Coturnix japonica: one gene and its partners. The protein of the gene in region 3 purifies or fractionates together with the protein of the main gene of each other region. This does not show direct contact. Links are inferred from orthologs where the notes say so. Each region holds a gene or a part of one and is shown on either strand. Other genes may lie near its edges. The genes, in order: AKAP12, EPB41L3 and HSPA12A.

Evidence for each region.
Region 1: the proteins of HSPA12A (region 3) and AKAP12 purify together in Homo sapiens (affinity purification with mass spectrometry; 3 studies listed by BioGRID and IntAct, with this or other methods). This does not show direct contact. The link is inferred for Coturnix japonica from reciprocal best matches to the Homo sapiens genes HSPA12A and AKAP12.
Region 2: the proteins of HSPA12A (region 3) and EPB41L3 purify together in Homo sapiens (affinity purification with mass spectrometry; 4 studies listed by BioGRID and IntAct, with this or other methods). This does not show direct contact. The link is inferred for Coturnix japonica from reciprocal best matches to the Homo sapiens genes HSPA12A and EPB41L3.

The regions. Positions count from the first base shown.
Region 1 is NC_029518.1:43,956,728-43,960,960, reverse strand, and holds the start of AKAP12 (A-kinase anchor protein 12), read right to left. Parts: upstream 2,838-4,233; 5' UTR 2,588-2,837; coding exon 2,507-2,587; intron 1-2,506. UniProt on the Homo sapiens protein: Anchoring protein that mediates the subcellular compartmentation of protein kinase A (PKA) and protein kinase C (PKC).
Region 2 is NC_029517.1:90,377,031-90,380,678, forward strand, and holds part of EPB41L3 (band 4.1-like protein 3), read left to right. Parts: intron 1-406; coding exon 407-1,111; intron 1,112-1,628; coding exon 1,629-1,751; intron 1,752-2,285; coding exon 2,286-2,663; intron 2,664-3,445; coding exon 3,446-3,577; intron 3,578-3,648. UniProt on the Homo sapiens protein: Tumor suppressor that inhibits cell proliferation and promotes apoptosis. Modulates the activity of protein arginine N-methyltransferases, including PRMT3 and PRMT5.
Region 3 is NC_029521.1:25,730,119-25,733,766, forward strand, and holds part of HSPA12A (heat shock 70 kDa protein 12A), read right to left. Parts: intron 1,491-3,648; coding exon 1,374-1,490; intron 1-1,373. UniProt on the Homo sapiens protein: Adapter protein for SORL1, but not SORT1. Delays SORL1 internalization and affects SORL1 subcellular localization.

The DNA of each region.
Region 1 (4,233 bases), on a different chromosome or scaffold from region 3:
AACAGTCATCAATTTCAAGTCCCACTATAATGCTGGGTTGGAAACTCTGAAGCTGCTTTATGGGCAAATAAGCAGCAATCTGTGAAAAGTTAGGGTGAGCACCTGGGATCCTAACTCCTTCAGCCCAAATTTAATCTGCAGTGCTTACAAACCAGCACCCAAAGGCTCTCAAAATCTCTTTCCTGCCATGGTAGCCCAAATGCTTCACACGGCATCTGACATCTCCTGGGCTGCAGAAGTGAAACACAGGCCCATGTGCTCCCCCTTGCAGTAACCAGGACACCTCGAGACCTGGTATTCAGCCAAAGAGTCACATGGGGATAACAAGGCAACGTAAAGACTGTAAATTTGGGCCTTTCTCAGAGAAAAAGCAAACAGGTTTTCAGCTAGTGCAAAATAGGACTATTATGAAAGAAACTTGATTAAATATTCCGCGGTGTTTCAAGTGATGAGGAAGCAAAACTGCCATGAAATTTTACACTGCCTATTGTAACAGTTGCCCAGACAATGTATCTGTAATTCACTTGCCAAGGCTCGCTCAAATTGGATTATGTAAAAGCCAGTTTTCCAAATATTCCATTCAAAAGAGCTGGGATGAGTGCTTTAATGTCAAAAGCACCAGAATGGAGACCATCCTTTAAAATGACACCACTGCTTCTTTTTTTCCCCTTTGCAAACACATTAGCTCTTTGATAGATTTCTCCAGGGGCACGGCATGATCTGGTGATTTTCACGTCCAGAGGGCTGTAAGGAACAGCTATGAAAAACTGTGCCATGAATCTGCATGAAACAGTCTCGCTGTGGTAAGAACAGAATAAGGGAGATATGAAACAACAACAGTAACAAAAAAGTAGGACTTCATTAAAACTTTGATTCAATGTAAGAGAAGACAAAAACAGCTGTTCTAAGAGAAGCGTAGTCACAGAACTTCTTACAGCAGCGATACGCAAAGAGAACTTCCTCACCTTTAATCAGCTTGAATGATAAAACTGAAGTGTTGGAAAAGGCTCTTCCTAAAGAGCAGATGATATAAACTACAGTATTTAGAACCAATCATAGCCTGCCTCGGAGAACAGCATTGATGGCATCCCCCTTTTCTTGCCTTGGTCCCCGTGACTGGGTAAATGCAACTATGAACATTACGGCCCTCCTCAAAGTCAGGTTATCTTTGTTTTAAAACAATCACTGCACCCAAAGGCTCACCCTCCAAATGCACCGCTGTCTACATTTCAGCATTTGAATTCTAAAGCGGCTCAACACAACTGCTAAATATTTTGTTAACCAACACCGATCCCTACTGCTTATTTGGTTAAAAAGAGAATAAAATAAATCTTGGTTAATTTAAAGTTCATTCTCAATGCGGTTTTCAAATCTGTCAAAACACGCACAAGGAGGTCTAGTGGAAGCCAGGAACTATGGGAAATTCAACTTGAAAGTTAAATCTGAACCACAAGGTCAAAGAAACAAAGTCATAACCCGTTCTCAAGCTCCAACACACCCACACGCCCGCTCACAGAAACTTGGAGTGCTCCGAGGACCCAAGCTCAGATCAGGCTGCGCAGCGGACTCCGGGCATAACGTCGCATTATGTCTCCCCTAACAACTAACGTCTAACCCCAACACGATGCTATGTAAACACGTAGATGCACATAACCTCCCTTTCAGTCCCAGAATCCCCTCAACACGCCTATTCCAGAGGGATAAATGGGTTCATTCATAATCTATTTTTAAACACCAGACGTTTTAAAAGAATTTCTTTCAATTCTTCAACGTCTTTATTTAAAATAACACAGGCTCGGACCCCGATCCCTCCTCCCCGTTGGTTGCGGGCCGCCGCCGCCCCGCTCGCCCCGACGCTGTGCCACCGCGGGGAGCGCCGCAGCCACCGCCCGCACCGCGACCCCGCGCCCCCCTCCACGCCCAGCTCCGCTCGGGTGGGGGGGGATGCGGCGGGCCCGATGCGGGACTGGGAGCGAGAGGAGGGACGCTTAAGCTGGAGCCCAGCAGGGGAAACTTGGTGGTGCGGGGAGGGTCCCTGCTGCAGCCCCCCCGACGCGCCTCACAGACGCATCCTCGAGAGATATGGGAAGAAAAAAAAAAAAAAAGAAAGAAAGAAAAAAAGAAAGAAAGAAAAAAAGAGATGGAATAGTAAGAAAAAAGGCTGGGGGAGCCCTGGGTACCACAGCAGCGGCCGTAGGACCGCAGTCAGGAGGGCTCCCAGCACAGCACTGCCCCGGCTGGGTGCGGCCCTCTCCCCCCGCAGCCGCACACAAAAGCGCCGCCGCCACCGCCCCCCACCCGGCCCCGCCGCTCTCGCCCCCCGCCGCCGCCGCCGCGAGTTTTATGACTGCGGCGCTGTCCGTGGCGCAGTCCCGGCCCCACCGCAGCCCGCCCGGCCCGCAGGATCCCGCCGACCCCGGCAGGTGCCCGCCGGCGCGCAGGAAACTTTCCCCGCGCTGCGGAGCCGCCGCCCGCCTCCCCCGGCACCGCACCGCCCCGGCCTTACCTTGGCGGGCTCCGAGGGGGCGGCGGCGGCCCCGTCCTCCTGCGGCGGGGCGGACGGCTCGGCGGAGCTGCCGGCGCCCATGGCGCTGCCCCGCAGAGCTGAGCGGAGAGGAACGGCAGGGGCTCGGGGGAAAAGGGGTGGGGGGTGGCGGCGCGGCTGGGAATGAGGGAGCGCGGCTCTCCGCGAACTCCTTTAGGGAGCGAGAGGAGGGAGGGAAAGGGAAAAAGGGAAAGAAAAAAAAAAAAAAAAGCGAGAGGGAGGAAAATCACCTCCGCCCCTGGTCCCCCCGCCCGTCTCCCGCTTGCTCCATCACATGAGCAGAGCCCCAGACACGCCTTGCAGCATCGAGCCGGGCTGATAAGGAGCGGCGGAGGAGGAGGAGGAGGGGGAGGGGGGCAGCGCCCTGCCCGCCGCCCGGGGCCTCTCTCTTCTCTCCTGGGCACCGCCGGGGCGGGAGCGCTGCCCGGACCCCAGACCCAGCCCGTGGCCGCCTCGCGGCGCTGACTCAGCTCTTTTACCTCCCCCTCCGCCCACCGAGACCGAGTCGGCGCCCGCCAATGCCCTCGGGGTGCTCGGGGCTGGGGCTGCCCCGCGGTGGGCTCGGGGCCCCTTCGCCACCAGCGCCCGCGGGTTGACGACCTCAGCCGTACGGGCTGCCAGGGGCATGTCCGGGCTGCGGCTGATGCGGAGCAAGCAGGGACCTATGCCTTAGCGGGGTACCACGCTGTTGGCTTTCTATTTTTTTTTCTTTTTTTTTTTTTTCTTTTTCCATGCGGCACAGGTTCTCATTGATTAATTCCTGCTAGACTGCATGGCGAGCAAAGCAGGCAGCGTGATAGCTTCCCTCCCGACCCAAAGACACACACACACACGCTGAGCCCCACTTCCCTGTGCCACAGTGATGGGACCAGCATGCACAGAGCAGCACGCCCATCCAAAAGGACCCCCAGGGAAATGACACGTACACTGCGATAAACCAACCACGGTGTTGCGGAGGGAGCCCCTCCCTGTGAATCCCCCCATCCTCCACTGAGTTCATAGTTCAGATCCGAGATTGGGGACATTTTCCTTTAGAAAATGTGAAGCAATCCTCATCCATTGAATCACTGGGTCATTCAGGTGTATATATATCTATATTATATCTTTATATTCTCTTAACAATCCTCTCTGCTAATTGCCTGCTCTCTGCACGTGGTCAGCTTTTTACGTAAAGCAATCAGGCCACACCAAGTCATTGCATGACACAGCCACTGCAGCAGTACAAGAACCTTGTGGAGCCTCAGCAAGAACCAAACTGCTGCTGGGGATGGCACAGGAAGAACCAAATCACTCCCTTCAGCCTAGTCTTGCTCACCCTCATATATATGCATAGTACCAAGAAAGTGTTGTCCTAAGGCTACCTGTCTCTCTAACAGTTTTTGTAATCTTTCATTTGTTTATTTTTTCCTCATCTTCAGAAAATTAATACTAGTGCATTTCTTTTAAAGGAGAGCAGGAAAAGGGAGTGAAAATTGATTGTGTGGTTGCTTGGTTCTGGGAAGTTGAAGTGAATCTCAAAGCCATGGCCGGCCCCTGGGAGCAGCTGCACGCCAAGGGTAGAATCCATCTGAGTAATTCCCAACATTTCTGGCTTCTGAGCCCAGAGACACCAAGCCCTTCTCACTTCTGGTGCTCATGTAGTGCATTGGTGCTTGGAAGTGCTGTAGATGCAGATGTATTCCAGACTG
Region 2 (3,648 bases), on a different chromosome or scaffold from region 3:
GTTGGGCTTATTTGCCCTATTTCTGTAACTTGTTTTCAACTGTAACATTATGAACCATGGTGATATATGATTTTTAACCTCAGGATGATTCTGATGATAATTTTACTCTGCTTCAAATTACTGCAGAAAAGTGTGGCAAATGCAATTTATTTATTTATTTATTTATTTATTTATTTGTCCACATTATATGGGCCTCTAATGGGAAGAAACCTAGAAGAAATCTAACTCTGCCTGAGGTGATGCTGTTTATTTGTTTGATAACTACTCTAAGAAGTTCAGTGGTAAAATTATTATATACTTTCCAGAGAGACAGGATTGATTTCTTAAAAGACTTCATACTTTAGTACTCCTGAAACACAGATAAACCTTCAGATATTCTAATTTAGCTTTTATATCTCAAATATAGGGCACTGAGGATTGGGTTATTATAGACAAAGTACCTTCTGAGGTAGCTGATGGTGAATCGAAAAAAAATGTGACATACAAAGTGGTGACTGTGAGCAGTAAAGCTGGCATTCCGCCCGAGGTACTAAAATCCAGCACAGTTCTGAGCTTTGAGGACTTGGAAAGTGAAATACAATCCAAAGATGAGAATAAGCAGAAAACATTCACCTTAGGAAAGTCCTATGATGCTGTGTCTGGGAAAATTGTTACCATGACAAGTAAAACAAAAGAGGGAGAGAAAACAGTACAGCCTTCTGTAGAAGCTTTGCAAAAAAAGGAGAAGGAAGCACAAGAATCTTTGAAAATCATTCCAGTATTGGCCAAGTATGGGATCGTAGAGCCTGTCGCTGAGGAGAAGGCCGATGTGCAGAGCACAAAAAGAAAGCTGTCTGACTCCCTGACACCTATAAAGGAAGCGGAATCTCAGTTGCAAAGTCCCGAAGAGGAGAGCTTGAAAAAGACACTAAGGATGGACCAAGATTTGCAGTTACTGGGAAGCTTGCAGCTTGGCAAAGCAGAAAAACACCTTGATGGTGAAGCTGCAAAAGCAGGGGCATTTACCTGGAAAGATAAAAGTGTGTCTGAGTGGAGATACTCCAGAGAACAACCATTTACCATTGCTACTGCTCACTATGTTGTTACTGAGTCGTCTGCATCAAAAGTAGTGGTAACAAGAGGCTTTGACTTCATGCCACAGTTTAAAGATTAAAGCATGACTTCTTTTAGGCAATGCCCTCACACTACCCTGCCTTTCAGTTCTCCTGCTGCCTGGCTTTATGTTGACAGCAGCCAACCCAGCTTATTTTTTTCTCATAATTTGAAGCCATACTACAGTGTAAAGCAGGCATTATATAAGGCTTTCAACTTTTCTGGTTCATTTAAAGATCCATGTTACTGACGTGTGGTGTTGCCGCTGTTGCTTGTTAACCAAAGGGTAAAAAGGTTTGCCTGAACGAGCAAAACGCCGGTGCTAACAACTATGCTTTGTAACTATTGCTTAATACAGCCAGTATGAATTTGCTCTAATTTATTTTCCCATCCTTATCCCATTCCCAGCCTCTCTGTGCCCTGCAACCTTCTCTTCCTTTCCTCTGTCTCTGCCTCCTGTTTTGTCAGTTAATTTCTCTGTGCATGTGGGTTGGCCTTTCATCTGTGTATGACTCTCCATTTCTTTGTCTGTTTAGACTAAACAGTCCACCGGTGAAAAAACCCTGGATGGCTCAGATATCTTCAGTTTAATAGAGTCCGCCAGGAAGCCGACTGAGTTCATAGGAGGGGTTACTACTACTTCCCATAGCTGGGCGCAGGTGGCTGTTTCATTCCATCCCTCGGTGTTATAACTGCACAATAATGACTTTTGATTTGCTTTTGTTTCCTGTTTTTATGCATAATTCAGAGCCTGTATGCCTAACGCATTGCATTGCTGTGCCTTGTTCTTTGTTACAACAGACCACAACAGAAACTTCACCAAAAGGGAAAACAACGACAACAACAAGTGTTGTGGGTTTTTGTTTTTGTTTTTGTTTTTAATCTCATTTCAGTTTATTTTGGTCATTTTACAGGGTGCTGTATTTTGCCTTTATAAGACTCGCACAAAACTACCAAGGATAAAAACACTGGCATTTTTCTTCACTTCTAAAATCATAATCTTGTTTTATTTTTCATTTCTACTTTTCTGATTATGTCCTTAGAGTGAAAATCCATTAGCGCGAGAGAAATAAATTGGCAAAATGTAATACCCCGTTTTTATTTATGTTCACAGTACGTTAAGCTGAGGAGCTGCTCTGTGTAGCATTGTCTGCTTTCAACATGAGGATTTTTTTTTTCTTCTTTCCCAACAGAGAATAGACACGACAACATCTCAGGAGATAACTTCCAGTGAACTGAAGCAAGCAGCTCAGCCACACCAGGACGCAGTGACGAAGGTTGTACAGGAGACTGTGGTTATCGAGGAGAGACGTGGGATGAATGTGCATGCGAGTGGGGATCCCGCTACAGTGGCTGGACTTGCAGATGCCCAGGCTCAGGCAGCATCTGCTAGCGCAAAAGGGAAGGAGGGCACTGCTGTGACTAAGGGGGCTAAAGAGGAAAAAAGGGAGGCTCACAAAGCTGTAACCAAACAGGAAGGCATTGCTGCTGCTACTTCTCATGAGCAAGCGGAGGAGCACAGTACAACAGTCCACGTTTCAGACTCTTTGGAAAGAAAACCTCATTTTGAGGTAACTCGTTAAATCAGTTCTTGTGCTGAGTTGTAAATGTATGTGGTAGTGGACTAAGTCAATTCCTCTCATGGAAAGTAAAGAGTACAAGACTTCTATGATTGCATTTTTACAGCAGGCAGTTTGTTTCTCCTCTTATTTCCTCCTTGCATGGCACCTGCAAAGCTTGTTGCTGGTTTCCATCCTTGGCTAAATGCCATGCATATTTTACCTAAAAGCGCTTTTCATGCTGCAGAGAAATGCCTCATTTGCTGGCTTTTTATGCAGTGGGCAACAAGGACTCAGCTGGCATTCTCTTTGGGAAAATCCATCAGGATTGGCAAAGTTTGCATGTCCTCAAAGAAAGAAATTTTTTTTTTTTTTTCCATTCTTGATACAGTCATACATTATTGTAGTCTGTCTGAAGCAATCTGTGCTTCTTGTTTTAGCCCCATTAGAAAGATTTCAAGAAACATTTTGCAGAAGGGTAGAGATACCTTGTTTTGCTCTTTTTTTCTTTTTTTTTTTTTTTCTGAAAGCTGAATGGAAAAGCAAGCCTGAATAGGATTTGTTCTCTTGTCATTCTGAGAACATGTGTAATGTTTACATGTTTCCTGAAGCTCGTTCTCATGTAATCCAGAGTAGTGTCGAACTGCTAGTGCTATATACATACCATTACAACAAAGAGATTTTTTTTTCTCTTTTGTTTCTTAAAATGCAGAGCACTTTTTTATTAAAAATCCAGAAACTTTACTAAATTTTCCAATCCCTTTTTTTTTGTTTGTTTGTTTTTGTTCACACAGTCACCAGTTGTGAAGACTGAAACAATCAGTTTCAGTAGTGTTTCTACTGGGGGGGAAAACCTTGAAATTTCAACAAAGGAAGTGCCAGTAGTCCATACAGAAACAAAAACCATTACATATGAGTCTTCACAGGTAAGAAATCCTACAGAAGCCAATGTCTAATTAGCATGGCCTTGAAAATCCCATCTCTCTTCATCCATGTT
Region 3 (3,648 bases):
GCACTTGTTGGATCCTGCAATAGGAATCTGAAGACTGAATGAGAAAGTAGAACTTTCAGTTTTCTGCATTTCTTTCTTCGGCCTCATTCCTTTAAATATCAACTGTGTCAAGCAAACATACAATTACTTCCCTACATGCTTTTTTTTTTCCCCTGCAGTTGATCACACACCCTGAGCTAAAAGCCTTGTCAGTCCTTGCTGTTTATCAAGCTTGCCAATAGAAGAACACAATCACAGACAAAACCACAGACACAGACACTAATCAACAACATTCCATTGTGCCACAAATGAGAAATGCCAAGAGATCTACCTCACTCTGCCCTGCTCCTTACACAGCTCCCGTTACACGAGCACACATGCACACAGACAGCAGGCAGACAACAATATACAGAGATAATGAATGGGTCTCTAGTGTTTCGGATTTACCTACAACCGTGTCCTTCCATCAGAACTTTAAGAATGTTTTGCTTCTGGCACTAGCATTAGCAATCCCACAATAAAGACTGTTAAGAAAAATTGTTGCTCAACATTAGAGGTAGTTAGAAACAGAGTTAAAGAAAACCTGGGTGCTTTCCAGGAGCACTCTGCAAATTACACACCAACTACTATGTATTTCACAAACCGCGCATGATGTATCTGCTGCCAATGGGTTATGCAAGTCTGCGGCATAAAATAAATAACATAAAATGCAACGTGAGTATCTTGATGAAAAGAAGAATGCACACATCTAGTCTATCAAAGACACAAACTGAATTTGAAATAAAGCATATGCAATATGGAATGTGCAAGACTGCGGGGGCTTTGAAGGGAGGGGAAAGAGTTAAATGCTGACAAACTCCTACTGGTGATAGTAACGTTTTAATTTAATTTTATGTCCAGACTATCTGGACTCAGTCTCTTCATTCCTACGGTGGGAAAATGGTAACAGGAAAAAAAAGTCCCTACTGAGGAAGGTCTATGCTTTCCCTACTCCTTCTTTTTTTGTCTTATTTGAAAAAAGCCTGTGATGACCTAAGAAATTAACAAAACAAAATCGCATCCGCTGTTTTAAATCAGCTTTCTCTTCAGTCTCAAAACTGCATCCCTTCCATGTACAATAAATTCAGCAGGAGTATCATGTAAAAGGTGACTAAAATATTAGCCTGCAGTGAGGGACACCAGTACACAAAAGCAAATACATTAAAAGGCATTTAAAATGTGAATACACATGATGTGAAGCCACTGATTTGTCGAGTTAAATTCTATGTTTCTAGCCCAACTCTTTATTATTTAATGTCGTTTACACTAGTGCTATTTGTCCCAAATATAGTTTAACATATAGCCTACCAAGTGAGGCTTTAAAGGGCATTTTTAAGTTCACCCTGTAACCTTACCTTGTAGGCAGCTTGTCTCATAAACTGCTTTGCAGGCTGCTTCCAAATAGCAGGCACTGTAATAACCCATCTTACTTCAGTATTTTCAAAGTCCGAACCTGCTTGGTCACTGAGCTCCTAAATAAAGAGAAATAGAGGTGAATGTAAACTGATGGGCATCAACTTGGTAAGAAAATATTTTCTGAAGTTTCCAGTAACAGAAACTCTCTTTTCAATCTTTTTCCTGCTACACCTACGTTACAAATCCAAATATTTAAATTATTACCAACCTTTCAAGAATGCTTCACTGTGCCAACAGCTAGGATTAGAGCTGACACCTTCTGAAGGAAGCCCATAGAAAAGTTTACTACTTAACATGAAATAGAAAAGTTACTTTTTCCTAAAGGAGCACGTGCACTGCTGAACATTAGAGAATGTTTACATATGCTCTTAGTCATAGTGAGGGGATTCACAGCTAGTCTGAAGAATTCATGCTTACATCTAGATTAATTCACAGAAAAATATTAGAAGTATTGATGAACATTAAGTTTTACAATCCAGATTTTTCAATGACTCCTTTATACAGCACTCACATGTAAATTAAACTTTTACAACTCGGTTAACAAGGCAAAGTTACAGCTAAAGTCTTAAAAAAAATAAAGACATCAACTGAATGTTCCCTGAAAATTTTGCTTTACACGAGCACTGAGGAGTGGTCTAGTTATTTTCTTGTTCTTCCCTTCCCCATTAAAAAGAGAAAAGTCTGTATTGCATTTATAGATTAGGTGATATACTGACATATTTTGGGAAAGGTTCCAAGTAAAATGTCATTACCATATGTCCTATCTAAACCTCCATCCAAACAGGGAAAGCTTCATAAAAGTGAACAACAGGCCTTTAGAATGTAAAATATGTTTCTGAGCGTGCTGTGCCAAGGTGTTGTGTTTGCTCAGCCATACTGCAGTTTAAAAATCTGTGGTAGAAAAGAAGTACCTTTATACTGCCCAGGGCAGTAGGAATGGACAGATTACAGTCCTAAGCAACAGCATGAACTCACAAATCACAGGGATGTTTTATTAACATCAAGTAAAGATGCAGCCCAGAACAGGCAGCACAGCAACTTATGGGGGATTCATATTCACTAAACAGTTCCCCAGGCAGTAAATGCATGGGTACAAGTCTGTGACTGAATGTTAAATGCAAAAATCTATCAGTCTTAGAAAAGTTAATTTTTTTGAGTAGTAATGATAAGGTGGTTCCTCTAAGGCCATGAAGGCAGAATAAATTAATCCTATTCAGAAAAGTGGGTCAGCTTTACATCAACAGGGCTGTTTTCATGTAAGCACTGTTTAGGATTCTGATTTGGCCCAGAAACTACTATGTGTTGGCAGTACATAGTAGCACATCTGAAACTAATGTAACAAAATTCACATTTGGTTGTTTACATGAGACCTTAAATCTAAAAACTATTTACTGGAGACATGTATTTCACAAGAGAATACCCAATACAATCTCGTGACCCAACGATAATATTACAAGAATTGAGTATTGAAACATTTCATACAGGAAATGGAAAATACGATGTATTTTCCCATTTCCCTACCAAGATCCAAAATAGTAGCTTAATATAGGCTAATATACTGAACCTCTTAGCCACACCAAGATCATTGCAACAGTGAAATTATACTGTTTTCACCATTTTAACTAGCAAGTCATCATTGTAGAGAGTGACAATGAGATTCAACTCACCAAACGGTAAATCAGCTTTTAATAATCTTCCTGTCGCAAAACAAATCCAGCTCATCCGACTTCCCTACAATCAGTCACTGAAAACAATATCAGACTGGGACTCCAATCATTGGGAAGTGCCCAACCAGTTGTGTTTCACACTGCTCACTCATCAACACGAAAAAGAACTTGGAGAATACAGAACACGGAATTGTCCCAGCACCAGAAGTGTGGGGGGGCAAGACCAGAATCCAGCCTCAAATTTAATTCTTGGCAAGTTAAAAATGCAGACTGAGCGAAACACTGAGCTCCAGCTCCTGCACTATTATGTTTTCTTTTCAAATCAACATTTTTAATGATAAAAACAAAACAACAACCAAAAAAAAGCAACGCAACAATTGAAAGGTTTTATCCCAGTAAGAAGATACTCAGAACTTATTACTATTATTGAACCAAGGTTCCCTTGTGCAAAAGGAAATCACTGCAGGACTACTGTGAGCTCTTTCAGAGTGCACAGCCTGCCTAGAGTTTCTACAGCTGCCTTGCTTTGTTTACATCAAACACAACT